3 linked regions of the Alligator mississippiensis genome follow. The protein of the gene in region 2 interacts with the protein of the main gene of each other region in a biochemical or structural test. Links are inferred from orthologs where the notes say so. Each region holds a gene or a part of one and is shown on either strand. Other genes may lie near its edges. The genes, in order: EIF2AK2, DNAJC3 and THAP12.

Region 1 (9,998 bases), about 200 Mb from region 2:
TGCTCTAGGACCTATTGGGCAGCCCCCCTTTTAATCCAAACAATTACATCAAGGGCATGACAGACAAGTGAGAAGGGGAGGGCACCCTAGAGCTGGAGCAGGGTAAGAAGTGTGTGACCACTAGGAGGTGTTGCAGCCACCCTTGGAGCTCAAGCTGATTATACCATCTCAAGTGTAGGTCAGAAGAAGAGAAGATAATCTTGAATAGGATGAGGGCAAAGACACAGCCCTGCTTGACTCTGCTTTGAATCTCAAAAGCCTTGGATGTCGATCCCCTATAGCTGACTGTTCCCCACATTCTGTCATGGAAAGGGTAGATTATGCTGACTGAGTTCTGGTAGGCAGCCAATGTTTTCCAATAATTTAAAGAGGCCCATATAAGAGATCTGTTCTGCTGACAAATTCAAAGACCAACCACAACTAGTAATATTTGTTTGCTATATTTGAATAGATGGAAATGTAAAGAAAGAAATGGCAGGCATTGTGGCTCTTAAAGAAACAACGCATGGAATTAACAAATGCACTAGAGAATGCATTGGAGAATGCTAGCGTCTCGCTAGGTAAACTTGCCAGTACTGCAGTGGACAGAACTCCTACAATGGTGTGGTGAAAGGTAGGTCTCATTACACCTGTAAGGCCTTAGCATGGCAGTCAGGCAACTTGGTCACTAACACTCAACCCCTTAAGTAGGACCAGCTGAGCCTGAGCCTGCTGCTTGGTTCCAATGCTGCTCTTAGGAGCTTTGGCAGCACCTAGCCCCCGCTGTGCAACAAAATAGCCTCAGTCTGCATGTAGCTCTTGTCTGTGTGACTTCCCTGGAGCCTGTTCCAGTGTTTCAGCCTGTGTACCCAGTCCCTGAACTTTGGACCCCCATTTGACTTTGGGTCACGTGGCCAGGAACGCAGGTTGGCAGCTTGGAGAGTGGCATCCAACCAGTAAGTCTGTAGGGGGGAAGGTGTGGGGGAAGAGGCATAGAGGGGTGCAGATTGAGGCCCCCACAGTGAGGGATGGAGTGGGGCTGGGGCAGGGGTAGATGCTGCTCAGCCTGGGTGGGGTGGGGCATGGGATGGAGCCATGGGAGGCTGATCTGGGGGATGCAGGGGGTGGGAGGGGGCAGCTCCTTGCCTCTGCGTGCTCCCCAGGAAAGGCATAAAGGGTATTTTGTGTGTGAGGTGAGGGTGGGCTGAGGGCTGTGCCAGCCTCTTCCAAGTGGGAGGGCTGGGCTGGGGCTGCACTTGGGGCAGGCGGTATTTGGAGAGGTGGTGGTGATGCTGGGAGGGGGGGCCATGGGGTGGCTATAGTGAACTTTGGGGTGGCTGTAACCCACCTTGTAGCCCCACTCCCAGCACTGCCACTGCCTACCCCACCCCTGACCCTCCCTTCTCTGAGTGTAGCTCTGGCTCATCCCCCCAGCCTTGAGCCCATAGTGGGCAACTTGCTCTTGTCCTGCGCACAGATCTGGGGGCACATGCCCCCCAAGTCTACCTTGGAGGTGTGTGCAGAGGCAGGAGCTGCCACCCCCATCCCCCGACAAGCCACCTGCAGCCCCAGTCCCACTCCCTCCTTCACTGCAGGGCCTCAGTCTGCCTCTCCCCATGCCCTTTTCCACCGCACAGACTTACCGGACACTGCCCTCCAAGCTGCCTGGCTGCATATCTGCAATTGGATTAATACTGGCTGATATGGCTGATAAATAATCAGCCATCAGTATTGGCCAAAAAAATCTCTGGCCAGCAGCCAAAGCATCTTCTGGAAGGACTAAGCCTCTGTCTGCCAGTGCACACTCCTGTGGCATACACCGCACCACTTCTTTTTTCATAGTGGTTTTTTTGCTACTGGAATTTCCAGTAACAAATTTTGCCCCCACACTGCAAATTTGCAGTGCTGCACATGCTTTAACATGCCAGGTATAGTTTGTGGCACTGCAAAGAGGTTTTCAGTGCTGCAAACCACATGTGCCTGCATATCTGGATCTGGCCTGACTGCCATTCAGATTTCCATCCCCTGCCCAATCCATTGCTCTGCTTTCTGCTCCCTGCCTCATCTGTGTCTGTGCTGTGTGCGCTCTTCCCCAGTCTGGCAAGTGCCACATGCAGAGGTAGCCCATGGCACTTGTGACATGTGCCACAGTGTGACTGTCCCTGAATTATCAGATGACTTTCATGGTAGATTTAAAGACTTGCAAATACTGAAACTTGTGAACTCACTATTGATTGGTGTGATTTAATGAAGGCTGCTGGTCTACCCACAAATCCCTACTCGCCCATCCATCTGCTGTAGGAATGGGCGTTCTAGCACTCTTAGAGCAGTGTTTCTCAACCTGCGGGTCATGACTGTTACATCTCAGCTGTGTGTTCTTGGGAACCCTGGCACAGGATGCAGTCTGTCTGATTCACCCCCCCCCCCTTCTCTACATAAACAAAACTGATTAAGAGGCAGTGAGAGACACACCTAAGACCCTCCAGATAAGGCTGACAAGGGTGGAACAACTGCCCTAGGTCTCATTTGCATCTGAGATAGAACCTGATGACCATTCATTTACATGAGAGATGGAGAACAGAAAGCCTGAAGCAGAGACTGCAATGAATGCTGGGACCAGAGAAGCAGGGGAGCACTGCATGATGGGGAATCTGTGCTCCAAATGCTAATCAACCCATATTCACACACACCCAGCTCAGCATTTATCAGACCAGTTCTAATCTGGATCTACAAAGGACTCCCTTCCCCCCCCCCCCCCCCACACACACACCCCCACCTCTAAGTTTAATAGGCATCTTGGGCCGTACATTTCCCGGTCCCACTATGGGAGGCCTATTTAAACTTGATTGACTAAAGCTCGGTTGCCGGGTTAGGGAATGCTGAGGCAAGAGACCGAGTCAGAGGGGGCAGGGGCAACATTTGAACAATGGTTAAGGGTTCATTGCAGTGTCCAGCCTGTTGGAGCCCTAATCACAGGTGTTGTCATACTTTTCCCAAGATGACTGGTGGGAGTCCTCTCCACAAAAGGTTATGAGCACCCCAATAATTGTCATAAGTCTGTTAAAAGACTATAATAAGATCTGGAAAAGTCATGCTAAGCTGAGGCTTGTTCACAACAAGTGAAAATCCAAAATCCTGATGCTGCAGGCTATCTATTGTTTCTGAAGAACCCATGAGATATCCCATCAGTATATCTGCTATCCATAGGAATTTCAAGCTGGCTCCCAAGTATTTGGTTACTCCCTAATCTTATGTATTTCCTGATTATCAGTCAGTTTCTTGAGGTGTTCCAAACCAGATAACCCCTTGTCAATAGAAAAGACAATGATTTACACAATTGAGGATGCTTTGAAGCAGCTGAACTGAGGGTATAAAAATCTGTAAAAAGTGTGAGTGCTCAAGAAAGAAAGAAGAAAACTCCTGTGCTGACACCATTCCCTGTTCTTCTTGGGACGCTGGAAGAACAGATCATCTCCCTTCAAGGACTGTGCCTGTCAGCTTTGCAGCCTGAGTACCTTGGACTGGTGAGATCCCAGCACTCTCTCTCTCTCTTTTCTCTCTAGGCATAGATTTCTGAACCTGAACTGTATTAGTTAAGCTTGAGCTAAGTTTCCCCAAATACTTAGTGAAACCAGGGTAGTATTGTAACTGTGTTTGTTTTTTTTTTTCTTTTGCATGTCTATTACTACTAGTACTATTATATATTTCATATGCTTAGCAATAAATAACTTTTATAGTCAAACTGGTAGTAACTGGGTATATTTTTCCTTCTCTGCTTCTCTTTCCTCCCGTGCTCTGCAGCAACGCTTCTTTTACCTAAGCTAAAGATCCCTGTGAAGCCCAAAAATACTGTGGGGTCTGCTCATCAAGAGGCCAAAGATTGGGACGTGCTGAGTTTGAAACACATAAGGGGATCAGCTTGTACAGGCTGATTGACCCAGTTTGACTCAGACGTGCCCTTATGAACTGAATGCTGGCCCATGAGGGTGTCAGCTGGACACCCAGCCGGATTCAGAGGGATTCTGTTTACCTGTGTGCTTGTGTCTGACTGCAGTTTATTGTTGCTCTGATGAACTGATTCTTGGCATATGAGGGTGTCAGCCTGTCCATGCTGATCAGCCCGGCCAGGTCAGGCGTGTCACGTTAATTTGTGTGTGTTTGTGTGTATGACTGATTTGGTGACTGGAGGAACCCAGTCTCATTGAAATTGAGTCCTGCAAGATAGCTTCATTGGGGGTGAGGGCTTGAAGAAGGGAGAGATGCAGCTCCATATAGTAACACAAGCAGCACATTGACAGAATTACCAAGACCCTAGAAACTATCCCTAATAAATGAGCACACCCCAAAGTAATGGGCAAATCTGGTAACATGACCCAAAAGTGGGTCGCAAGAATATATGAAAGGGTCACAAACAAAGTTTAAAAATGGATTCTCCTTTCAAGGAGAAAAATGTGGGAAACTGTGGCTTTTCCCTTGCAGGCTGGCAGAGCTCCAGCCCCTCCTGCCCCACACACTGGAGGGCTGGGGGGCAGCTGGTTGCGAGTGAGGGGCACTGAATTGGGACTAGCCATTGCTGTTTACAAATGGGTCTTGGTTAGGGTGGCCATCATAGAGGGCAGTCTGGTTGTCCTCTGTCCTCTATTGCTACAAAACCAGATGCCTTTATGTCCCCTATTTTTTTTTTTTTTTTTTTTTTTTTTTTTTTTTTTTTGTTGAAGAGGAAAAATGGAGAACATAAAGGTGTGGGGTTTTGTATCAATAGGGGACAGAGTAGCAGGACACAGGCATGTCCTCTATGACAGCCACCCTAGTCCTGGTACAATACAAAAACAGTTGAGAACCGCTGTCGTGGAGGAGATGCGTGTCTGAGGCTAATGAATACATCAGTGCATTTGGGTGCGATGCTTTAAAGGCCCCCTGTGCTCTGGAAGTGCTGTGTCATCCTCTGAACATGCGGCTCCTTCATAACTTGGTTCCGCTTGACACCCTCTGGCTGGAGGAACAGGGCCCAGGGCCGGATTCACCCTTTCGTGGGCCCCCAGGTGAAGAGAGAAACTTTTATATGACTTTCCCCCCCACTCCATTCCAATACGTAAAAATAAGCACTTCTTCACTTAGGGCCCTAGGCACCTGCGTTCATCCGGCCCTAACGGGCCAGCAATGCCCCCGGGCTTCGTGTGCCTTCGCCCAGGCTCGGCTTGCCCGGCGCGCCTCCCGCGCGGGGCCGGCCGGGGGAAGACCGCGCCCTCCGACAGCCCTAGCTCGTCCGAGCCAGGCGCAGCGGGCGTGGGCTGCGCCGCTTGCTCCGCGCCTTCGCTTTCGATTCCCGGCGCGGCGGGAAGGGCGGGCGCGGCGGCAGGAAACGAAACCGGGCGGCTGCAGCGAGTGGCGCGGCGGTGAGTGGTTGCACCGTCCGGGCCTCGTGGTGCAAGGAGCGGGTCCCCCGGAAGCAGTGGGAAGGACACCACTTCCCCGCCCTCCCCGGGTTGGGGATCCTGTGGGGAGCGGGGCAGGAGTGGGGCGCCGGGAGCACCCTGCTCAAGGTTTGGCCCTTTTCTAGTCCAGGAGGCAGCTGCGTGAGGAGCTTTCCGGCAGGATCCAGTGGGAGGCAGGCAGTGGGACAGCAGCTGGAAGCGCCCTCCAGGGCTGGCGTGTGGTGCAGCCCCTGCCTGAGGCCGGATCGTCCAAGCCTCTGGGCAGAGCTATCCTCCGATCTCTACATCCCACTGACCAGCGCAGACCTAGCGCCCACACCTGCCACAGGTAAAGGGGGCGGGGCGGGGTTGGCTGCTCTGCCCACAACATGCCCTGCCTTCTTTGGGGAAGGGGACATTTGAGGGTTATGCTGTAAGGTCCTCATCTCCCCCAAACTGGCCCAGATTTGGCCCCGCGACCCCACAAGGCAGCTGGAGTCCAAGCTTCCAAAAAGCTTTTAATACAAATTTTTTCCTCCCTCCCACCCTACCTAGACTGCTGACAGCCCCAGGCAAACTTTTAGTCCCCCTTCACCAGAGATCATGATAGTTATAATAAAAAAATTACTATTTTTGCACCCCCTTTCTGTCTGGGCCCTGAGTGGTCTCCCAGTTTGCCCATGCCTGTGTCCGGCCCTGCTCCCACCCCACACACCGCTGCTAGAAGGAGGGGATGGGTAAAAGAAAAAAATGTGGATCCATCGTTACTTAGGGAAGGGATTCGTAATGTTTGTGTGCCCAAGGGCACATTTGAATTTAAAAGAAAAAGCAGCAGGCATCAATAATGGTGGCTACAAATGTCCAACTTGGGATCCTTAAAATTCTAGTTTATTAGGCGGATTGAAACACCGTAATCATAAACCTTGCGTCTGGCACACACACACACTCACACTCACACTCACTCTACAGAGTCAGGTATACCTATCCTACAAGCACTGGAGTCTGTCGTTATGGCTTCTTTCAGTGTGGTATTATCTTCCAGAAGGGGGTCACCGGCTGGTCCTTCTGGCTGGACAGGTCTGGTCAAGTTGGAGATCAAGAGGGCGCCAATGACAGTCACTTTTCACTGCCTTTTATTTGTCCCTGGCAGACTTTGGTGACTCCCCAGTTTTCAGGTTTGCCCAATCCAGGGGTTATTGACCCTCGTGGAACTTCCCCCCCCCCCAGTGGCTACTGGATGGCATCTGTCAGTCCCAGGGGTCGTCCGCATGTACGTGCAGGTTTGGGAGTCCGTTGATGAATTTAGAATAGGGCTCTGGGAGCGGTTGATCTGGAGATACTCAGCCCAAAAGTTGGTCCCCAGCGTTGATTAACTCAGGCCAGGGCTTCTAGCCCTTGATCAGTGAGGTTTACAGATTTCGCGGTTGTTCCGTTGTCTTCTATTGAGTTCTTCCCTTGGTTGATCTGCAGCTTCCAGGTGTTAATTGCTGCCTGTTGCTACAGTGTTACACATTCAATCACTGATTCACTCCCTCTTTCAGGTGCCAGTTTCATACAGGGAAGGACAGTTTGATTCCTACCCTTGTTACAATGTATAACTTACTAAAACACATTTAGTTGAAAGGTGAGGAGTATCAAATATAAGCTACAAATGCCATGGCACACAAATAGATAAAAATACCAAAATACAAGAGGAGATACAAAATGCACACACACAACTTTTAAAACACAATTCCTTATCTTAAAGTGAGAGAGAGAGAGGAAAGAAGAAAAGGTAGAAAAAGAGAAACATATCCAAAGAGGGGAGAGCAAATACAGGCAAGAGGAAAAGGGGGCTTTCTGCTACAATATGACAGCATTTTTTTAATGGAATAATTATTTTTACTGATCAGGAAAACTTGGGCGATGGCGCCAGCGTGCACTGTGTTGGGAACCACTGATTTAGTGTGACCATATTTCTTGAACCTCACTTCCTCTCTACCTCTTCTCTCTGGCATGCTTGGCTGTTTCTGAGCTCCTCAACACACCTCTTTTAGCATGCAACAAATATTTTGTAGCAAAACAGCCTATAATTCTCTACGCTCAGAAACACTTCCTGGATCTGTGTCTGTACCCATGAAGTATAGGGCTGCCATCTCTGTGTTTGCTTTCTTATATTCTTGGGGCAGAGACAAATGCTAAAAATATACATTCACTGTCAATTTTTCCCCCCTTGCAGGTTGGTTCAAAATGGCATCTAAGAAAAAGCTTAATGAATATTGTCAAGCATGTGGATTAAAGGTGTCGTATGAGGTTGTCAGTGAGGAAGGCCCACCTCATGATCCCAAGTAAGTTCATAATGGAGGCCAATGGATCTTCATTAGTAGTCTGGAAGGTGGTAGGGAGTACACTTTCAGCAAGTTTGCAGATGACACCAAGTTGGGGGAGTAGTAGTATGCTGGAAGGTAGGATTCAGGGAGACCTAGACAAATTGGATTATTGGACCAAAAGAAATCTCAGGAGGTTCAATAAGGCAAGTGCAAAGTCCTGCACTTAGGATAGAACAGTCCCATGCACTGATACAGGCTGGAAGCTGATTGGCTAAGCAGCAGCTCTGCAGAAAAGGACCTGGGGGTTATAGTGGACAATAAGCCGAATGAGAGTCAGTGTGCCCTTGTTGCTAAGATAACTAACAGCATACTGGGCTGCATTAGTAGGAGCATTGCCAGTAGATTGAGGGAAGTAATTACAGGCAGTCCTCAGACTTATAGATTCATAGATGTTAGGGTCGGAAGGGACCTCAATAGATCATCGAGTCCAACCCCCTGCATAAGCAGGAAAGAGTGCTGGGTCTAGATGACCCCAGCTAGATGTCTATCTAACCTCCTCTTGAAGACCCCCAGGGTAGGGGAGAGCACCACCTCCCTTGGGAGCCCGTTCCAGACCTTGGCCACTCGAACTGTGAAGAAATTCTTCCTAATGTCCAGTCTAAATCTGCTCTCTGCTAGCTTGTGGCCATTATTTCTTGTAACCCCCGGGGGCGCCTTGGTGAATAAAAACCTCACCAATTCCCTTCTGTGCCCCCGTGATGAACTTATAGGCAGCCACAAGGTCGCCTCTCAACCTTCTCTTGCGGAGGCTGAAAAGGTCCAGGTTCTCTAGTCTCTCCTCGTAGGGCTTGGTCTGCAAGCCCTTAACCATACGAGTGGCCCTTCTCTGGACTCTCTCCAGGTTATCCGCATCCCTCTTGAAGTGCGGCGCCCAGAATTGCACGCAGTGCTCCAACTGCGTTCTGACCAGCGCCTGATAGAGGGGAAGTATCACCTCCTTGGATCTATTCGTCATGCATCTGCTGATGCACGATAAAGTGCCATTGGCTTTTCTGATGGCTTTGTCACACTGCCGACTCATGTTCATCTTGGAGTCCACTAGGACTCAAAGGTCCCTTTCCACTTCCGTGCCACCCAGCAGGTCATTCCCTAGGCTGTAGGTGTGCCGGACATTTTTCCTCCCTAGGTGCAGCACTTTGCATTTCTCCTTGTTGAACTGCATTCTGTTGTTTTCTGTCTACTTGTCCAGCCTGTCCAGGTCTGCTTGCAGCTGTTCCCTGCCCTCCGGCGTGTCCACTTCTCCCCATAGCTTTGTGTCATCTGCAAACTTGGACAGAGTACATTTCACTCCCTCATCCAAGTCACTGATGAAGACATTAAAGAGTATCGGTCCAAGGACCAAGCCCTGCGGGACCCCACTGCCCACACCCTTCCAGGTCGAAACCGACCCATCCACCATGACTCTCTGGGTGCGACCCTCTAGCCAATTCGCCACCCACCGGACTGTGTAGTCATCCAAGTCACAGCCTCTTAATTTGTTCACCAGTATGGGGTGGGATACCGTATCGAAGGCCTTCCTGAAGTTTAAGTATACGACATCAACCCCTACTCCTGTGTCCAGGCATTTTGTAACCTGGTCATAAAAAGAGACTAGATTAGTCAGGCATGATCTGCCTGCTACGAACCCGTGCTGGTTTCCCCTCAGCATAATTTGTCCTGCCGGGCTCTCGCAAATGTGAGCCTTGATAATTTTTTCAAAGATTTTGCTGAGGATGGAGGTGAGACTGACTGGCCTATAGTTGCCCGGATCCTCCTTCCTCCCCTTCTTGAAAATGGGGACCACATTGGCCCTTTTCCAGTCCTTCGGGACTTGGCCCATGCACCACGAGTGTTCAAATATTCCCGCCAGTGGCTCTGCTATGATGTCGGCCAGTGCCTTCAGCACCCTCAGATGGAGCTCATCCGGGCCTGCCGACTTAAAGGCACCACTTCTTCCAAGTGACTCTCCACCATCTCAGGGTCTACGCATGGAAGTCTGGCGCCTTGTTGCTGCCTCTCTACAACCCCAGTGAGAGCCTTGTCGTGCCCCTCACTTAGGAACACTGAGGCAAAGAACTCGTTGAGGAGTTCAGCCTTGTCCCCCCTGTCCATCACCAATTGTTTCTGCCCATTTAGCAGGGGTCCTATTCCTCCCTGGGCCTTCCTTTTACTCCCTAAAAAACAATTTCTTGTTGTCCTTTACTTGGGATGCCATCCTCAGCTCCATGGTAGCTTTGGCCTGTCTAACTGCCTCCCT
Region 2 (10,579 bases):
CATTGTTTCTTACCTTCTTGTTTCTTACCTGTTCTGTAGTGCTGGTCTCCCCATGGCTCATTATCCAGAACATGTAGAAAATCACTCCAGAAGACTCATTAGCTCTGTAGGCTGAGATCAAGGCTATTTGGAAAAGACATCCTGCAGAAAAAGGCTAGTACGTTCTCACCCCTGAGAAAACGCCAGGCAGATGCATCTGGAAAAGGAGGAGGACAGAGTCTGGGATGAGTCATGAGAGGAAGAATATGAAACCACAGGATCATTGTCATATTTGTATGACAATTTCAACCCTTGTATGATATACCATCAATAACAGTAAAAGTGTTCAAGATGTACAATAATTTTTGAGACAGCTCATTGGTATAGCATATGCAAAACCCAAGCCACTCCCGGGGAGTCTTAACTGACTTTTGGGCCTGCTGTCAGCACTGTCTTATGACCAGGGATCCTGGTTTTCTCTAATAACCAAAAATCCCAATTTTTTAAATGAAACACCACGATTATATATAATAATAGTAATATATATGAGCTAGACTGTTCTTAGTGGTAGCAGATGACAGAAGCTCTCAAGCTGCAGCAAGGGAAGTTACGGTCTGATATTACGAAATATTTTCTCACTAAGAGGGCAGTAAAGCACTGGATCATGTTACCTAGAGAGGTTGTGGAGTCTCTATTCTTAAGACCCAGGTAGACAAAGCCCTGGCTGGGATGGTCTAGTTGGGGATGGTCCTGCTCTGAGCAGGGAGGTGGACTGGATGACCTCCTGAGGTCCCTCCCAACCCTAATTTTCTGTGATTCTAAATACATATAAATAAACTGGTCTCTATTCTGTGTTTGGCTCAGGAATGAAGTAAGGAAGAAAAATGTGAACTCTGGCTGAATTAATAGCTCCTATATTTGTGCCTTGACACTCTGTGACCAACACAGGATGCATATAGCCAATCATACTACCAACAGAGCAGGCTTGCCAGAACAACAGAAAGTGATGTAACACTGGATTCGAGTGGTTTGGTACAATGTGGTCCCTGTGGCAAAACTTTTTTTGACCATTGAAATCACTCCAGAAGAATCATTAGCATTGTAGGCTGAAATCAAGGCTTATTGGAAAAGACATCCTGAAGAAAAAGGCTAATATGTTCTTGCCTCTGAGAAAACATCAGGCAGATAAATCTGTGAAAGGAGGAGGACAGAGTCAGGAATGAGTCATGAGAGGAAGAGGAAGTTCTAAATTACCAATTGTATTATTACCACAACACTTAAGAGCCCTAGCAGATAAGGAGTACAAACAGTGGAAAGAGTTGGTGCTTGTCCACAAATGTAGTTTCTGTGAATTGCTGAACTGGTTCTCACTTAAGCTTATATTCCTCCTGTTGAAGAGTACTGCAAAGCAAAAATCTCATAATAAGAATGACATGTGATGTACACATTTCTGAATGTTCCTAGTCTGCTCAAATATGACATAAAATTATGTTTGAAATGTTCCTGCAGTAACTGCTGTGGTCAGAGTTACTGAGCATAAAGCAGCTACAGAGCATAAAGCAGCCCAGGGCAGCTGTGACACGTGGGGCCAGTGACAACATCTGGCTGATTTTCGTGACACCAACATAATGATGCCCTGCGATGGCAGCGTTTTTTTCTGCTTTTGCCTTCCCAAGTTGGATCCTGGGACAGCTCCCCCACTCTAGTTACAATACTGGCTATGGTATCAGAAGTAAGCCTTTGGCTGAATAGAATTAACATAAACTTCTTCAGTCATACTGTTTTGTCGGACTTCAGTTTATGCTAGAGGGATTTTTTAGTTTTGCTACAGCTTTTTGGGTAAAGAGTAAAGGAAGCTACAGGAACAATTGAATCCTGACAATGAAAGGAGAAAAAAAACCTTCCACATAGCACTACTAGTAAAGGTGGCTTATGCCCATAATAGATAAGAAAGGCTTGAAACGTTCCAATGGTTTTGAACAGATACTGATACTAACCACAATATATGATTAAGAAGTTAGGATCTTACAAATACCTGAGAGGCAAGAGAGACTTAGGTAGTAGAACTATGAACTGAAGATTACTGAGATTCAACTTAAAAAGTTAATTAAGTTATACAGAAACAGAGGTAAATCACTGTATAGTTCACAATAAGAACTAAATGTAAGGAAACAAAAACATTGTTTGCAATGTTTAATTAAAAGTGATAAATTAACAACACTTAACCAGGATATACATTGTATCAATTATGAAATTAAACCAAAAAGGTTCAAGTAAAGGAATTTTTTAAGGCCACATAAAAAGAAGCTTTCTACAGTGAAATGCAACAGGGCACATCTACACAAAGCACTTTACTGTGCAATAAAACTGATTACTGTGCAGTAAGTGTCTGCATCTACACGTGCAGATGCTTACTGTGCAGTAACTAGCTCTAATCATGAGTAAATTTGCTACCTGCAAATGCAAGCAGAAAATTTACAGGGGCTGGGGAGTTTGGGCAGTGAACAGGCTCTCCAGCTCCTGCCCTGAGATACAGAGTGAGGGCTGGGAACTGTCCTTGTCAAGGGGCAGGTCTCAGTCCTGTGCCCCAGTTGGCAATCAAGATGCAAGGCTTGGAAAGAGTTGCAGATGTGGGGCAGGTCCCAGCCCTCTGCCCCATCTGCCAGTGGGGCACTAGCAGTGAGCCCCCAGCTGGGCAGGGAATCTGAGCCCCCTGCCCCCAATAGGGGAGCTGGGACTAGGAACATTGTCCCCGCCCTGGCAGCAGGCAGCACCCCTGGGGGCATGAAGCAATGTCCCAGCCCCTGCCAGAAGATAGCTGTCTCTTTTCCCAGTGCTTGCTGCCAGATGCATGGCCAGAGAGGCAGGAGCAGTTTGCTGCCAGGAGCATAAATCTGCTCCCGAAACTGTGCATGTGTCTGTAGATGCCTGCCCAGGAGCATTTACTCCCAAGTAAACTTTTTCCAGATCAAATGCACATGTAGACACACCTGCTGCCAACCTTTATATTCATGCAAGACAAGGGGCATAACACTATACTAATTTGGTATAGGCTCAGAATGAATGTGCTTAAAGGATAAAATGTGACTATTTAATAACATAAGCATGTAGAACAAAAGCTAAACCCTAGCAAAGGGTTTTAAAATCTTGAAAGAAATATCTAGGTGAAAGTATATCATCTAAGTTAATTAGCATAACTATTTCTATGAATAAACTGTTAGCACATTCACATATAAACAAGTATAAACACTAACAAGCTACAAAAACCTTTCTTCTTTTAAGGTCTTCTTAAACCATGTTAAACCTATTGGGATCTGTCTTACCACAAACAAATTAGAATGAAAATTGTGTCAACATTTGTAGGAAGTGTTCACACACAGTTAGGATTTTATAAGGTTAATGATGCTAGAGACAGAGGCACAAAAATTAATCTCAGTGTTGGTAAGCTAGATACATTCTATAAAGACTAGAAGTTTGAAATTAGAAGTAGTTTTCGCTTTTTCCAAAATAGCTCACAGCAAAGGCAGTGAGGGGGGGATGAAGGAGAAAAGCTGAAAGTCTGTCTCACACACAAACATGCAGTAACACTTCCCAACAGAGGGTGAAGTGAACAGATTAGATATAAGTCTGAACAATAATGGTTAATGATGTTTATATCAAGGTCATGCTCTGTTCCTTAGCTGATGCAGTGTTGCTTTCAGGGAAGCACAGGAAATAATACTGCTTCTTGGTCATTCTGATGAACTGAACTACTGAGATCTCAGTTCAGTGTGCCCAATTCCCACCTTAGTTTCTATCATTATAAGCAGTTTAAACCAAGACACTACAAGTTGTCAGAAGAAAGAAAAATCAAACTATGGCCTTCAAGCATGTATTAATATGCAAAAACTGCCCTGCCTATGGACTAAGAAGCCAGGAATACTGCAGAAAACTGGATTAAGTGAAAGGTATTAATTAATAGAGCTGATCTTTGCAGAATATGAGGGACATAAGTAGTCTCCTGCTCAGAAAGCCACTTTTCTGACACGTGTATAAGGCACAAAAGCAAGAATATCTGTAAAGCATAGGTCTCTAATGGGACAGTCATTGAAATAGGTAGGAAAAATCCATACAGACTACTCAGACTATGTGAGGCTTATTGTTTCCAAGGTAAAACAGCTCCAATCAAAGAAATATTTTCTCGGAGAGACATCAGGGACCTACGGAAACAATGAGTAGGTATCCAAGTTGTAGTACATAATAGAAGATTGCCTTCACAAATAGGGATGACATGCTGAAGTATATGACCTAACTTGAAGGAAATACAAGAAAATCATTAATGAAGTGTAGTGATCACACAGGTGCACATGAATGAAAAAACCTAAACAATGAACTTGATTTGTGAAGCAGCTGGCAACCTCTGCAGACCCTTTGAAGCAGCTGGCAACCTCTGCAGACCCTTTGTCTAGCTCTCTTAGGGTCGTGTTACACCTTGCATTGTGAGCTGCACAAATGTTAATTCAGGTTAACGCTAGCTTGGAGTTTTCAGCAGTTGCATCTTTAGTCTAGAAATCTCTCTCTCCCACCTACACAGCTATGACTTGCCACTAGAGGCCTGGTGAGCAGGAAGGTCCCTTCCAGCCATACTTCTCTATGCTATGCTTCTAAGGCAAGGCTGGGAGGGCAAGTGCCTAGCTCCCTTGGGCTAGCAGGGGGAAGCCGAGACTGCTTGCTGCAGGGTGTGTAAGAGCTGATGGAGTTAAAAACCAAAGCAACTCCCATGAAACCAAACTAGCAGCTGGCCCATGGGACTATTTCCATGGGGCTAAGACTTGGCACCAGCTGCATTACAGGGGGCAGCACCCCCAGGACTGGTAGGATGGTTTGAGCTGCCCCCAGTTCCCCTCAGGGGCAGCTGTCCCCATGATCCAGGTCCAGAGGTGGCTTGTAGTTTGCTAGCAGGTAGCTGCACCCACTCCAATGTTGAGGGAGCGAAGGAGCACTGCCAAGGCCAAGGCATGCTATCTCTCCCCCCAAGTTGGTTTCACTCAGCAGCTGGGAGCAGAGTCCACCTGTAGCCAGTTTCTATGTCCACACAGGCAGTGGCAGAGTCCTGTGCCTGAAGCCTGGATCCACCTTCAGCCATCCCATCCTGGAGCAGCGGCTTCCTCCCAACCCAAAGCAGCTGCCACCAGTTCTCACTGCATTGCGTGTGGATCAGGTGCATGCAGCAAGGCACTGCTGGAGCCGTGGGACTGGAGCTCTTTGCCCATCAGGAAAGGTAAGGAGAAAGCTGTAGTACAGGCAGTCTTCGACTTACAACATTTTAAGTTGTACAATGTTTCATACTTACAATGTTTATAAATTGACACCCTGTTTCAGCTTTCTGACGTCAGTTTTGACTTTACAACACTTGATCTGACACCACGCCAGGTGACACAACAAACTTGTTCGCTGGCATATCTCCTTGGAGAACATCTGCCCAAACTTCCTTCGACACTGCCTTTAAGATTTTCTACACATTCTGGATAATGATCGTACACCTGCCAACATGAGTGCCTTGTGCCCCTGGAGGCTGGGGGGGCACAGCAAGCTCCTGCTGGTGGTGGTAAGCAGGAAGCTTCTGCAGGTGGCAGTGGCACTGTTGGTGGTCGGGGGTGGGGAGGTGGCAAGCGCTGACCACCCGCAGACACCACCGGAAGCAGCCAGCAGTGATTGTGGACCGTGTGCAGACGCCACTGGCAGTGTCAGTGGCACCTTTTCCCACATGGTGCGCCGCCACACTCAGGGGGTGCACACCCCCTGCGCATTGCCAATGCCTGCCAACGCTGCCACACAAGTAAGAAGGCATTGGCTGAGGCCAGGTTAGCCCTAGCACCAGGACTTCTGCCCCTCTGAAATGTTCCCCCGCCTGCAGGAGAACTTTGCCCCCTCACATCTGCGCTGCCCTCTCAGAAACCGAGAGAGCAACACTTTCATGCCCAGCCCGGCGTGCTCAGGAGGCGGCACAAGCTAGTTATTAAGGGGCTGCACGGACACATGCGCCCTCCCACCACAGGGCAAAGCCCTCAGTGGCGTCATCTCGCGCTTCTGCGCATGCCCAAGCCCCCGCGGGGCGCAAGCGGTGGGCCTTCTCCGCGCTCTCCACGTGTCCTTAGTGGCGGGGCGGGGCGAGCGGCGGCGCAGCCAATCCGCGGCGCCCACGACCCACCCCGGCGAACTTGGAACGCTGGGCGGGGCGGGACGCGCCGAGCTGTCTCGGGGTTCAGCGCAGGCAATGGTGCGTCCCGGGGTGCGCGGCCGCCCGCTGGGCTCGGCGCTGCCCCTGCTGCTGGTGCTCTTCGACCTGCAGTACCAGGGTGAGGGCGCCGCGCGGGGGAGCTGCTGCCCGCAGGGCCGTGCGCGGCAGCGGCGATGAAGGGCGCGAGGGGCAGAGGCTGGGGCGCGTGTCGCGAACTGCCATCTGGCTCCTGCCCCGCGCCTCCCAGAGCTGTGCTGGGACCCAGCTGCTATGTGCTAGGGCAGCATGTCTCCTCAACCCGTGGGTTTCCGCCCCAAGAGTGGGTCGCAAGAATATATGAAAGCGTGGTGCACATACTTTGAAAACGGATTCCCCTTGAGAAGGAGAGAAACGTGAGACTTTTCCCTTTTAGGCTGGCACCGTTCCAGCCTGCCAGGGGCTGCTTCTCCCCCCCCCCCCCCCTTTCCCCCATGGATGCTGGGGGTAGGGAGCACTGGGTTGGGACTGGCCGTTGATGTTAACAGATGAGTTCTGGTGCAGGAAAGGGTTGAGAAGCACTGTGCTAGGGGGTGAGGGGAGTAGGGCTAAGGGGACTTGGGGCACTAGGAGCCAAGGAGGAGAAGGGGGAATCTGCGGGGTGGGCAGTGCCAGCCAGAGTTGGGCCCAGCCCATTCTTGGCATAGACAAGCTCACCCGGGAGGTGCCCTGCTGCCTTGTGGAGAAATGCACTGGGCTTGGCCTCGCCCCAGGATTGCGGCAGCGGGGACCAGGCTTCTAAGGGGGCGGTGAAGATGGGGGACAGTTAATGTGGCAAAGAATAAACCCCCAGATTGAGCCCTTCCCCAGGTACTTTCTGTAATGAAGACACCAGGCTCAAAAGTGAGTGGAGGCCCTGTCTTCTTAAAACCAACAGCTGCTTTAAAATAAATAAATACATACATACATACCATGTCTTAGTCACACTGGAAAACTACATGTATCAAGAGTTCTGTCAGGGTGGCAGCAAGTGCTTTGCTTTCCCAGTCTTTTGGGAGCTACCAGCAGAAGACCAGTTCCTGAAAGTTGAAACAGCTGCCTTGGTCCTAAACAGTGACTTTATTCAACTCTCACTGACTTTTTCAAGTTAAAAAAAAAAAACAAAACTTTTTTTTTTTTCTTCTCCTTTTTTGCTTGGGGTTTTTATTTGGAAGTTTGCCTAGGTCTCTGACAATCACTTTTTAAAAAAACATTTCCTGCATTGGCACCAGTAATAGGGTTTTCAAGGCAGATTATATTCCCCACCTGTACTTATACAGCCAATTTGCTTTCAGATTTGTATCCTTTGTGACACCTGTGTAATTACGCTTAGGGCTGATGGAGTTGTGCAGGTGTCTGTAATGGCGCAGTTGGAAAACAGATGTTTTACTGGTGTCTTTGAGGGCAGGATTTGATCTTTCTTATTGGTGGTGATGTGCAGAGTAGAAGGAACCCTGTGTGAACCTTGCAGCCAAGAGTAAATCTGTGGACTTCTCCAGCGCTGCATTTGAAATGCGTTTCAAAATTGTGCTTAATAAGAAATCTATAATGGAAATGTGCTTCAGCTGGCTGATGGACAATATAATATTAAGCTGGAACTTGGTAACCTGTAGTGTCTGATTATGTCAAAACTTTGTATTGTATCTTCTGGATACTTCTGCTACAGGAAGCAAACTAATTGTGATCAGAAGAATTAGTCTAAGCCAGGAGTTGGCAATGCTGAATTTGGCCTGTGAAGCTGGAGGGCTTTGCCTTTGCCCATGGTGGCATGAGGAAGAGAGGGGCTGGGCCTTGCCACTTCCAGCAGCCCTCCCAGCTCTGGTCTGATACAGGGTGGGTAGTTTCAGCAGCCTGTCAGCAGGGGGAGGAGAAGGGAGGGATTTTTTCCCTGTGCTGGTACCTGGCAGCTGGGAGCAATGTCCACACAACCAATGCTTTCTCAGCTGTGGCATGGGTACTGCTTCCAGCTGGTGGGGAGTTTTGGCGGGGACAGGCATCTACAAAGTATGGTCACCTATACATGCTGATGCCTGTTCTGATGCTTTCTAATTGGAGTGGTCCAGCAGACTTGGCGTCTCATGTTTTCAGTGTTCCCGTGTTTCAAAACAGTGGTGAGGGCACTTTAACTAAAGCATCCCTACTGCCATTTTGAAGCATGGGTTGCTGAATACATGAGACACTGTAGGTGTTTTAATTAGTGGCTCCTGAGAGCTGCTCTAACTACCGCCCCCCAAAGCATGTGTAAGAATGCGCTACGTCCATGCTGCTGCTAGTTTCCACACCACATCCCCTGCCCCAGCTATGGCATGAGTACAACTTCCAGGCAGTGGGGAGCTGCTCTGCAGCCTAGGTTGGGGCGGGGTAGCATGGGCACAGTTTCCAGGTACCTGGTTCCAGCACAGCGGTAGCATGGGCACAGCTCCCAGCTGTGTGGTCCTGGTGTGGGCACGAGCAAGGCTCCCCAGTACTGTCACACAGCTGAAGCCACCTGGCCTACATTAGACTGGAGCTGTGTTGTTTCAGCCTAAGGTATGTAAAAGATTGCTGGCCCCTGGTCTAAACAGTTGCACGTATTCTGAAGCACTTGGAGATGACATACCATTATGCTGATAATTGTGGATATAGAGGTGCCAGACTATCCCAAGTCACTTTCTTATATATGGCCATAGTATGCATGACCTGGTGCCTTGTTAATTGTGGCTGCAGTAGGCATACATTTCCTTTCTAACACTGGATTTATTTTCCTAACAGAGAGCTGCAGTAGACTGTGATAATCTTGATGGGAAGGGTATTATGCGGAACTAGATTGGACACAGCACTCATAAGAAACAATTCTGCACATATTAGGGTGGCCAGAATGTGATGTAATTGGGCACAATTTCTGAGATGCAATATCTCTTTCAAAGCAGCATTTTCTTTGGTATATGTGAAGCTAACAAAATACACGACTAGTATCTTTTTGTCATACACTAGGTGGTACACTAGGTTCTGTTGACTTGCATAACTATATTGCTGAAAGAATAGTTTATTGGAGAATGCATCATGTTGACGTGTTACTGGGAGCCTGCCTCCTCTGCAACACAGTTCATCCCTTCTGTTCCTCACTGGTCCCAAGCACAACGTCACTGGTTTCAGGAAGAGTTGAGGAGATTCTCCTGAAGGAGGGTGCTGAGGATGGTTGAAGAAGTGATGGGTGAATTTATTGCTGGTTAAAAGACACATACTGTGCAAGCGTGTTTTCTGTGAAACTCATTGAATTGGAAGGATAGAGTCATTTCTATATACCTCATGTTTTTCAGTATTGCCAGTCTTTTAGCTCTTCTAAAAAATAGTTTAATCTTTCCAGCTTTTAACTTGTTTGTAGAAGTCCCCTGATTTAAGAATTTGTGTAACAGGCCAGTTTTAAGCTGAAGTCTTATGTGGATGCTAGTTGATAAGCTTGGTTTTATCTTGTTTGAATGTGAATCATGACTGACTTTGGCAGGCAAGGTTCTTCGAGTAGATGTGATAGCTTTTATTAGATGAACTGAGTAGTTGGACTACGTAGTTGGTCTAATAAAAGAAGTCACATCTACTCAAAGAACCTTGCCTGCCTTCACCTTAGACCAACACTGCTACAACCAAAACCCCCACGACTGACTTTGCCATTCTTCCGCTAGTATTCTGGGAACTGGCTTAAAATGAGCTTTGGCTCTTCTGTAGGATTCTTCTGTTTTGTTATGCACAGGCTTAGGGTTAGCACAAGCCCCTTTGTGAACATGGATATTTGTTCATCCCAGTTGGAATAGGAAATGGATGACTGGGGAGGTCCTGTTTTTCTTCTCGCTCCTTTCAAGCAGCAAGATAAAGGACTTATGTGGAGGGAAAGAAGAGTAAGGCCAACAGGGGCTTTTCAGAGAGCTCAACATTTTTAGCCAGGTTTGCTGTTACCAGTCCTTTGACCTCTTCAGGTCTCTTTTCTCACCACTTACCCAGGGATGGTGTCAAAGTGTTATTTCTCTTCCTGATCTGAGGCTGAAACAGATTGTTATGGAACAGTACTGGTGGGGTTTTTTTGTTTTTCCTTCCCTCCCCCAGGACTTAGGTTTTGGGGAGTGGTGGTAAGGAAGAGAAAGAGAGGGATGTCTGCTTTGTTGCTTAAAGTTACTCCATGGTCTTTTTGGGGGTGGGGGGATGGGGAGGAGGTTGCTGGTGTTAACATTGCCTCCTTCCTTTCCAGGTATCCTCTGGGACCTACTTTTAGAATTATACTAGCCAATGCGTTAATTCAGGGGTGTCAAAGATACAGCCGGTGAGCCAGATGTGGCCAGTGGAGCCCTGTCATCTGACCTGTGGTGCTGCCTGCGAGTCCTGGGCTGGGCCTGC
Region 3 (10,183 bases), about 100 Mb from region 2:
ATCCCAAAGGCTGCAGGAGGCAAAGTGAATCTGAGCCAGCCCTCTTCATCAGATCCTGCCCCCTCCCTCTCCTGCTCCAAACAGGTCTTAGGGTTTCATGTCCTTTTTGCAAAGAGCTCATTGCAGGCTAGACCTCTGCAGAAAGCTGTTTGCAAAAGGGGAAACACAGTTCCCTGCTTCAAAAAGGAAAATCCACATTTTCCAAAAGGAGATTAGACAAGCATCTGACTGGGGTTACTTGACCCCAGCGCTTTTTCCTGCCCAGAGCAGGGGGTTGGACTCAATGATTTACTAGGTCCCTTCTGACCCTAGAAATAGATGAAATCTATGAAAATCAGCATTTTTCTCCTTTAAAGGGAGGAAACCTGTGTATTTCCTCAAGAAACAGAAAACCCAGATTCCTGCTAATGAAATATATAGATGAAAATCAATAAAATAAGAGCATATGCAAGGATTCTGGAATCAAATCCACAAAGTGTATGGCTTTTTCCCCTCCATTTCCTACGACTGCCAGAGTTGGAACCGCTTGTTCAGTGGTTTCACGAGGCTCTGTATGGAAGCAGGAGCATTTTTGGCATAGAGCAGAGAACTCTTTTTTTCCTCCCCCCGCCTTCTTTATCCTGTCTTTTGTATATCAGTTCACACCGAAGGTTAGGATTATTTGTGGATATGTCTTCGAGTCACCAGTTGGATCCCTTAGTAGACCCAATGGGAGCACAAAACTAACAACTGCAGATTCTGTGGCCCGGTGAGGAGGGCACTGTCCTGAGAAGTGGAGGGGGGCACCAGGGTACTACTTGCAGCTCCAGAAGCTGTTTCTGCATTTTGCATTTAATAGTCATTGGTTAAAATGCATGTACAGCTAGAAACCACATCTGTCTTCCAGGCCAGGCCCCTCCTCATTGGGACACAATCACTCTGCCTTTGTGTGTTCTCCTTCTGGCTCCCTGACTGTCCCGTGGCTGCCCAGCTTCAGCAAAGGCATGGAGGGTGCTCTTGGTCCTGGTTAGCTCGCAGTTGGTGGTTAGGGTGCTTTGTTGGGAAGTAGGAGACATATATTCAAATCCCTCCCCACCTGAGAAGGTCTGAAACCTGGGTCTCCCACTCCTAGCCACGTGGTCTAACCACTAGGCAAGCTCCTGAGCTAAAAGCCAGGGGACTGTCCACCTCCTGTGATCAAAGACGGTGTTTATTGAGGTAGATACCTAAAGGCTCAACAAATGTGTCTTAGCAGGGGATTAGGGTCTGGCCCTAAAGGTACGCCTATCCTACAGTGTGCAACCTAAGTCCCATGTCACACTCATACATGCACCTGCTGAGCCTACCTGCAAGTCACACTCAACCCACCCCACCTGTTCTCATATTTACCTTGGCACTGCATTTGCTCAGGTTACACTATAGGTTTCTTGGGAGCATAACCTCACCTCCGTAACATGGGCTGCTCTAGGAACTGGTTCATGGTGTATTGTGGGAGAGCTTGTCTAGGGCTTCTGGCCATCCATTTCTGTGCCAAGCCATTGAATCAATCCACATGGGTGGGGTTTTTGCCAGGATAGATGAGGCCATCGTTTGCCTGCCAGAAGACGGTGACTATGCCAGCTACAAAGTTGTACTGCTCCACAGCTCTGCAAGGCTACAATGGTCACAAAGCTCAACATGAAGTCTACGGGGAAGGGTCATGGCACCAAGGTGCTGAATAGATCTGGCATTGATCCATTTGGACAAGTAAGATCCTTATTCCTTCCTAATGATTTGATTATTAGCAGGGGTCTACGCCCATTATTATTTTATATCTTATGATACTGTACTCTGATCTCATAACAACTGTCAAGCGAAGACTTAATTACATACACACAGTGGTTTCAAGATGCGGTGGGCTGAAAGCAAAATGGAACTGCCTGCAAAAGCATTTGGATGCTAGTCTGGACAGCTTAAACCTATGTTATTGTGGCATGCAGCACCATAGTATCATAGGAAAATAGGACTGCAAGGAACCTCATAAGATCATCTAGTCCAGCCCCCTGTTCAAGCAGGATCATCCCTGATTAAACCATCCCAGACAAAGTGTCTGTCCAACCTACTCTTGGGAACTTCCGAAGATGGAGATAACACAATTAATTTCTCTAAGTCCCCGGTTCCAATTCTTGACCACCCTCAAAATCAGAAATTTCTCCTAATCTCCTACCTCAATTTCCTCTGCTGCAGCTTGAGGCCATTGCTCCTAGTCCTGTCCCATACAGCCACAGAGAAAAACCCATCTCTATCCTCTTTATAATCACCCTTGTGTTACTTTAAAATTTAGCTTGGGTGGAGAGCGAGATTAATGATCAGTGAGACCATTCCAGTCATACATCAAAAGCCTTATTGGGATATGCTTAAGCACTAACTTATTTACAACAATAATTATAATACTCGCATAGCCTTGGAGTTGAGAGAAGTCAGGTCAGCTGGCCCAGCATCGCCACTTCCTCGGTGATTCATAAGGGTCAAAAATGCTCAGAGGAGGCTTGAGTGATCCGATTCCTTGCAGCTACACAACTTTTTTACGCTTCTGGCAACACCTGGTTAGTCACATACACCATTTCATATTTGGCTAACCTAATTCTGCATCCAATCAACACCTGTTTTCTTCTTTCCTTTAGGTTGCAAAACACAAGCCCTGCCTGCCAACCTGATACTTGCTTAACTTGGTCATGTGCACTTGCACCATCATGGCATTACTCTGGCCAAGTGGGGCTTGCCAGGCCTACACTTTGGGTATTTGAAGACTGCTATCAGTTTTTGATAGTGGGTGACTGAGAATTTAACGTCAGTGCTGTGTGTTTTAAGAGTTTGGCTTCATTAAAAGCTTTCCATGCAGCTTCCTGGCTCTTTTCTCAGACCTCACACCAACCTCCTTTATAACCAGACCACTTTATTAATGAATAGATATTAACACTTTCATAGCCAAGTTGGTGGACAATCCCACCAGTTTGTCCACAGATAACTGTTCACAAATGTGAAAACTAAAAGCGAAACAGATTGATGATGCCATGAACCAAGATCCAAGCCCCACAAGTCTCTGTGAGTGCAGATCTGGATATCTGAAAGGTAATACTTCCTGCTCTGCTTCCCTTTCTGAACAGGCTGCTTTGATTTTACACAAGCGTATAAGATGGGACGGGACGAAACGCACAGGGTCTGTCTTTCCATTTAAGCTCAGTGAATCATGTATGAATTGCCAAGAGTGTCAAACTTGTTTGTCCCTGCAGGCTGGATGAGTGGGTGAGGGTCTGGTCCACATGCCAGATGAAGGGTGTGAGGCCAGATCAGGCCCAGAGACCCCTCCCATGCTGGATCGAGTGCACATGGCACCTGCTTCAGCCGGTCCAGGACCCAGTAGAAAGAGGCACAGCATCCCAGCTGCTCGGCTGCTGCAATGGGAACAAACTGTGATGCTGCCGGACTGAACAGGCTTACCAAGGAACCAAAAGGGGTTGGAAGCTACATAAGCAATCGTTAAGTAGGGCAAACTTCCAGGACTCTTGCTGGCTGCCCTGAGGTTCTGCTGCATGAATAGTTCTCTAGCACCACTGCCTTGATTGGGGGAAACTGTGGGATATAATTAACAGGTTACCGAACTAGGATCCAGAGGCTTGCTGCCAGCAGAGCATTCCCTGCCCTCCTCCCCTAACCCAAAACAGATGGGTCCAAAGGGTCAAATGCAGGACCTTCTGCTTCACAGAGCCATAGGGATTTCCTTGCTATCTCAAAAATGTTGTGACTTCTTCCCTCAAATGAAGCAGAATTCATCCCACTTTGTCCAATAGCCTCCAGAACCATAGTTAGTCATTACCCAGGAATTCCTTCCACTTAAGCTATCATTTTCCTTCTGAAAATATTAAATCGATGACTGCTGCTTGCAGGCTGAGGACCCAGCTTTTGTGCTGCTCCCCAGGCCCATCCTCAAAAAAATCTTTGGAAAAGAGACCCAGGACTCACAGGCTCATCTTGCCACCTGGTTCAAACCCCGATTCCTAGTTCCACAGACTTTCTCCGACACCACCTCTTTCTTCACCACGTCTGGTCCATCCCCTTTCTCTTCGGTCTGCATGTCAAATGGTCCTAGATCAGGACCATGTTGTGTAGTACTGTGAGCTCTGTGTATGGGGCAGTGCCAAGGATGCAGTTGAATGTCTCCTAACAGGGGCAGGGAGACAAGGCATTGCTGGATCTGCTGCTGCTGCTTTTGCCCATAGGGCTGAAAATGGCTGGGGAGCTCCTCTGGCAGGACGGGGGCTTATGCAGCACTTAGGGCTCCTTGGATGACCTGTTCAATCAACACAGCATGTCATCTGAAATGAGCAGGTATATTTAGACTAACAAGTAGTTTGCAGTGAGCGAGAAATGGAAGGGCAAGAATCTCCTTTGGCAATCACTCCCAGATGAGGATGACTGTCTTATAGATTATGATTGTCTTATCTATATGACAGAAGATGACTGACAATGAGGCCTATCCAGGATTGACAGACTCTACTGCAGCTCGGATATGTGTTTATCACAGTAAAAGTGATCCCGCTGTACATGGTTTTCATGAGGAGGCAGGTAGACAGGCTATGTTTAGGGCATCTTTTCAAGCCCATGCGGGGTGAGCAGAGCGGATCTTGAAGAGGGCTGCTCGGTCGCAGTTACGGCTGCCGAATCACACTCCTGCCTCATCCAAGTGCTAGACAACCTTCTTGTAACTGCTGCCTTCGTGCCAGTTCACGACTAGGAGCTTCCAGCCCTCACAATCCTGCTCCCGTCACCATTAGCTAGTCACCAAAGGGCTTGAGGAATGTGCTACAAAAGCTGTGTTCATGGAAGAGGCCCGTGCATGACTGCTTTTATTGGGAAGAAGCTGCTGCACATCGGCTTCCACATGACCTGACAGAGCGGGACCTTGATCCACTGGCAAAGGGACCAAGATATCTGGGGATCCCGTCCTGCTGCAGCCTTTATTTGCCTTTGCAGCCATTGAGAGTCTAATATCTTCTTCCATCTGCTCTGCCGTGGAGCACTTGTAGACCCATGGTTGGGGGCTGGCTAGGCTTGTTATAATGGCAACCTGTACTCGCCATGTCACTGCACCCTCAAAGGATATATGACTTTTCAGGACTTTTCACACCCAGTCTCCCTGGCCCCAAACCAGCCACCATTAAGCAGTGGAAAAGTTGCTCCGTGACTTGGATTTGTTCCCTCAAAGCCCCAAACAGCATGCTGAAAGGGGTGCATGACAAGCCATTAACTGATTCACCCTGAAGTGAATGCAAAGGTTATTTGTTCGAGCCAAGTTAAGTCCTTTTAGACTTAAAAACAGGAACCTTGCAGAAAGCATTATAAAGGTTATAATTATAAACCAAGGCTTGTATCATTATAAGCCAAGGCTATAATTATATTTCCTCATCCCTTTACAATGTCTTGTATCAGCCAAGAGAGCTACAGCCCAGACAGGAAGGCATTGGCTGCAGCAAGGGAGATCCTGGTGTGCAACAGCCTGGGGACAAAAGCACTTATGCACTGACTGCCTCTCCCCTTACAGAAAAAAAGATATTTCTTTGCAATTTCTAAGCTAGTCTAATAAAAAGTATCATTTTGGAAACAAAAGTTCTCGACTTTTGCATTTCTCCCATTACAGGGCACGCGCCCTACTAATGCCTTCTGCGCATGCGCACGCTGACCCCTTGCTTAAGCCTGCTGTCTTCTGCGCATGCACACGGCGATCGCTCACAGCCCACTGGTGCCGTCTGCGCATGCGCAAGACGACCAACTGTCCCTGCTCAAACCCCCACTGGTGTCTTCTGCACATGCACACCACGACCACTAATCACTTAATCTACTGGCGCCTTCTGCGCACGCACATCTCGTCCGTCAGGCGCACGCGCACTACAGCGCGCCAGCTTCCCCACGTCAATTCCCCGCCCCTTCCACATCCGGGTTCCAGTGGCTGGCTGCGGCAGCTGTTGGGTGGGGGGGGGGAAGGGAAGGGAAGGGACGGGGCGACGCCTGCGCAGTGGCTCGCAGGCCCGGCGCGCCACCGCGGGGCATTGTGGGAACGAGGCGGCTGTGCCCCGGCGGAGGGTGGCGGTGAATCCTCCCGGCCGCTCACAGCAGTGTCGAGCCGCTTCCCCGCCCCCTCCCGCCGCGCCCCCTCCTTGCGGCCCGCTGCGCGGATTTAAAGGGGCAGCGCCCCGGCGCGGGCCATGCCGAACTTCTGCGCCGCGCCCAACTGCACCCGCAAGAGCACGCAGTCCGACCTGGCCTTCTTCCGCTTCCCGCGCGACCCGGCACGGTGAGGGGACCCCCGCCCCGCCCCCTCCCCCTCCCCCTCCCCCTGGCTCAGGTGGGGGCGGGGGTGACCCTAGCCCACGTGCAGGGCGGGGGGAGGGGGGGGTGAGTGTGATGGCAGTGGCCCAGAGCCAGGTGTGTTGGGGGAGTGTATCAGTGTGAGTCAAAACAGATAATGGTCTATTGAGGACATCTTTATGGTCCGCTCCTTGAATCCAGATGGGCTGCGTCCTCCTGAGAAGCACCCTTGTAAACTATATTATTGCAATATCATTATGAAAGTGGCTGCAAGTCCTAAAAAAAAAAAAAAATGGAAGAGATTTAAGGGTTGTCTGTACTTAGCTAACTTGCTAGGAGTTATTTTAACTTAGTTTAACTTTGTAATAGGCTGTTATTAACCATGCTTCATACAGGGGCGGGTCATTATTTCAGCTGGAGCGCCACTTAACGAGTTTTGGTGAGCTGTTTGAGGGCCGAACACGCACGGTCTTTCGGAAGATATCGTTTTAACTCGTAGATAAAAAAACAAAAACAAATCGTATATTAAAAAACATAATTTTATTTCAAAAAATATTTTTTTTGTTCTGATTTATGGGTTTTTTTTTTCGAGGAGTTTATGTAAAGGCAATTGCATAATAGCTCAAAATAATCTTACTCTTGTATATTAGGTGTGCACTGAGTCCTAAAAGCTGAGTTGGGGTGGGGGAAGGAGGGGCAGCAAAGCTTGCCGGGGCAGTGCTAAGTCCACCCCCTTTTTCTGGCCACGGCCACCCTTGCAGTGTTATGCGTGAGGCTGAGCCAGTGTGTACAGCTTCCCAGTGGGGCTGCCTTTCCCCCACTCGGCCACCCACAGGTGGCTACTAGTTGTGCCAGGTGGGTGAAAAGTGTCCGGGAGTTGGAGCCGTGCACGCTGGGGTAGGAGCCGCTCAGTTGCACCTTCCCCTTGCTCACCACCACTTCCCCACCCTATCTGCTGCCTACAGGGCAGGTGAAGGGAGCGCCACGGGAGGCAGTGGGAACTGAACAGCACCCAGATAGCTGCAGTAGCCCCATGGGGAAGCGATGCATGCCGGCAGGGGCTGGGTCCATCCGGCATGCAGGAATGCAGCATTAGCTGTCCTGGGAAGGAGCGGGCCAGACTCGGCCCCATCCACAACACTGTGGGGGCAGCTACAGGCCAGATGCAAGTCAATTGGTGTGCGCCTGCCACTGGACCAGATCCAAACGGTTGGCGGGCTGGTTCCAGCCCATGGGCCGTATTTTCCCCATTCCTGTCTTAATACATAAAGAGGGGAGGAAAAAATCCCCAAAACTTCTCGAGTGCTGTAAATAGTTTTTTTGGGGTTTTGTTTTGTTTTTTACTGTTGAACACACGTTGAATGGATGCTTTCCGATTTGGTAATATAGAAGAGCGTTTTTTAAAAGCATTTTATGCTAGATATTGCCACGTTAGGGAAGTGACTGTTGGTATTGATATTTTGACACATAGTCAAGATAACATCATTGACAGTTATTCCACGTGGAAGTTACTAATTATCTTGAAAGGCTTCAGGAGAACGATATTTTTATTAGGGCTGTGCAACGCTTCGGTCGCTGGTTTGATTCAGCAGAGATTTGGCCCAATTCGGTGGCTGGAGCTGAATCAAATCAGGAGACCCTTTAATCTCTCCGAATTGAATCAGAACCCTCTGAATTGATTTGGAGAGATTCGATGATTCGGCCATAGACACAGTTTTAAATGGGTTTTTTTTCTACATACCTCAAGGTACTGGGGGCTCGTGAACACTAAGATGGTGAGGTGGGTGGAGCGTCCCATGGGAGTGCGGTGGGGGTCCCCAGCATACTCGGCAGCAGACCTGGAAGTGGACTAGAAGCACTTCCAGGTCCGCTGTGGAGCATGTGGGGGACCCCTCCTGGCTCAGCAACTGGTGCCTCCTGGGTCTGGGGGGGACGTGGGGTCCTGCTGCGGCTGATTGCTGAGCAAAGAGGGGCACGAAGGGGGGCCCCCATACACTCGGCGGCAGGCCCGTAAATGGACTGGAAGTAGTTCTGGGTCCACTGCCGAGCATGCAGGGGGCTTCCCTGCACTCCTGTGGGACGCTCTATCCGCCCTAGCATTGCAGCGTTCACAAGTCGCACCTGATACCTCGAGATATATAGAAAAAACATTTAAAGCTGTATCTATGGCTGAATCGCTGATTCTCTGAATCAGCATCGAATCTTTAGATTTGGATTCGGCCGGATTGAATCAGGACAGTGATCCGAATCAACAAATCGAATCGCTTTTCCCTGAATTGGCCCGAATCCAACTTGAATACGGCCCACTTTACACGCCCCTAATTTTAATGTCAGTTGAAATGGTTCAGTGCCTGCTTAAAGTGAATGCTGTGCAAGGTTGAGTATTAACTTGGTTTTAAGTAGATTGCACTATTCTTGGCATTTGAGAATTTGCTGATGCGAGATACCAACATATCTCAAATTCTGCACAACAAGAAAATTGCACATGCTTTGATTCATTCTTATCTTTAGCAGCATGTAACTTCTCAGCCTCTCTAGCTCAGATCTAGTACTACTCTCCTTAATCAAAAAATAAATCTGAACTGAAAATTATGACTTCAGTATGATTTGTCTTGGATTTTGGCAGAGATAGTTACGCTGCCTACCCTGGCTTGGGCAGAAATATTTTTTGGTCAATTTGGCATGCTTCCCATTTTTTACATCAGAATTTACTATTTGTGAAGAAAGAAGAATGCCATCTGTTGTTAGACTCGGTGGTTGTAGGACAAGGTGCTCATTATGGTAGTAAAAACTGCGATTTAGTCGCAGAACTGTGAACTTTGGAAACACGGGCTCAAATCTGCACAGATGTAGCACTTACCCTCATAGGGTACATCCACACATGCAAGCACGTGCACTTGTAGCAGCTCAAATAGAAACGGAACAAATTTGAGTCAAGGCTTTTTGCCTCGGCACACGTGGTTGGACATGCACTTTGTTGTGGAGCAAATTGTGCCACTTGGGGCAAAATAACCCTGCCTGGCCATCTGGGCAGCTATCGCCCGAAAGATGTTCCGTGTGTGGTGGCCTGCTTTGAACTGTCAAAGCATGTCCTCCTGGCCCCATTTGGACAGGAGGTCAGCCACAGCCAGCTGGGTCCAAGGTACCAGCTCTGAGCAGGCAGGGTCCTGCCACCCGCCTCCCTAGCAGGAATTGTGGTGTTCCCTACTGGAAAACTGAAAAATCCCTTATGAAAAAAAAAATCCCAAAGTCACTGTGTAAAGTACCCCCAAATCCATGTTCCTCCACAAGTAAAACAAAGACCACTATAAAGAGAGAGAGAGTGAGACAGACGGCGATCGTTTGGGCAATATTTTATTGATATATCTAGTGTTAAAGCAGTGTGGAAGCAGCCCACCAGTGTCTCTATCATAATAATAAAGTGAACTCTAAATACATGTCACATGAATATATAGTTTGCTACCACCCCCCCCACCAAGGCCCACATGCCACACCCCAGCCCCCCCACTTGCTGCCTCACCTGGCCCCATCCCCTGCCAGCTGCTGCAGCCCCCCATCCCCCCAGTGGCTGCCCCAACCCCCCACTTGCACCCCCAGCCCCGATGGCTGCCCCCCCCCCCCCCCCCCCCCCCCCCCGGGACTATTCCCAAACAAAAAAGGTCTTACTCTAATGCAGTTTTCTAATAGTAAAAGAAGACAAATGATTTTTTGCATGCAATCAGTAGATTGTTTTTTCCCCTTAAACAAAATGGTCCTTTACACTTCCATGAGATGTGTTATTTCTGAAGAACTACTGACTTGTAAATGTTTGTGACTGAAGAAAAGCACTTCAGATTATAAGAATGGCAAACGAGGGAGC

What was found.
Region 1: the proteins of DNAJC3 (region 2) and EIF2AK2 form a complex in vitro, tested with the Homo sapiens proteins (2 studies listed by BioGRID). The link is inferred for Alligator mississippiensis from reciprocal best matches to the Homo sapiens genes DNAJC3 and EIF2AK2.
Region 3: the proteins of DNAJC3 (region 2) and THAP12 form a complex in vitro, tested with the Homo sapiens proteins (2 studies listed by BioGRID). The link is inferred for Alligator mississippiensis from reciprocal best matches to the Homo sapiens genes DNAJC3 and THAP12.

Annotation. Positions count from the first base shown.
Region 1 is NC_081824.1:166,421,605-166,431,602, reverse strand, and holds the start of EIF2AK2 (interferon-induced, double-stranded RNA-activated protein kinase), read left to right. Parts: upstream 1-5,116; 5' UTR 5,117-5,139; coding exon 5,140-5,375; intron 5,376-5,539; coding exon 5,540-5,742; intron 5,743-7,611; coding exon 7,612-7,720; intron 7,721-9,998.
Region 2 is NC_081824.1:367,687,244-367,697,822, reverse strand, and holds the start of DNAJC3 (dnaJ homolog subfamily C member 3), read left to right. Parts: upstream 1-6,176; 5' UTR 6,177-6,235; coding exon 6,236-6,317; intron 6,318-10,579. UniProt on the Homo sapiens protein: Involved in the unfolded protein response (UPR) during endoplasmic reticulum (ER) stress.
Region 3 is NC_081824.1:469,817,606-469,827,788, reverse strand, and holds the start of THAP12 (52 kDa repressor of the inhibitor of the protein kinase), read left to right. Parts: upstream 1-6,073; 5' UTR 6,074-6,221; coding exon 6,222-6,310; intron 6,311-10,183. UniProt on the Homo sapiens protein: Upstream regulator of interferon-induced serine/threonine protein kinase R (PKR). May block the PKR-inhibitory function of DNAJC3, resulting in restoration of kinase activity and suppression of cell growth.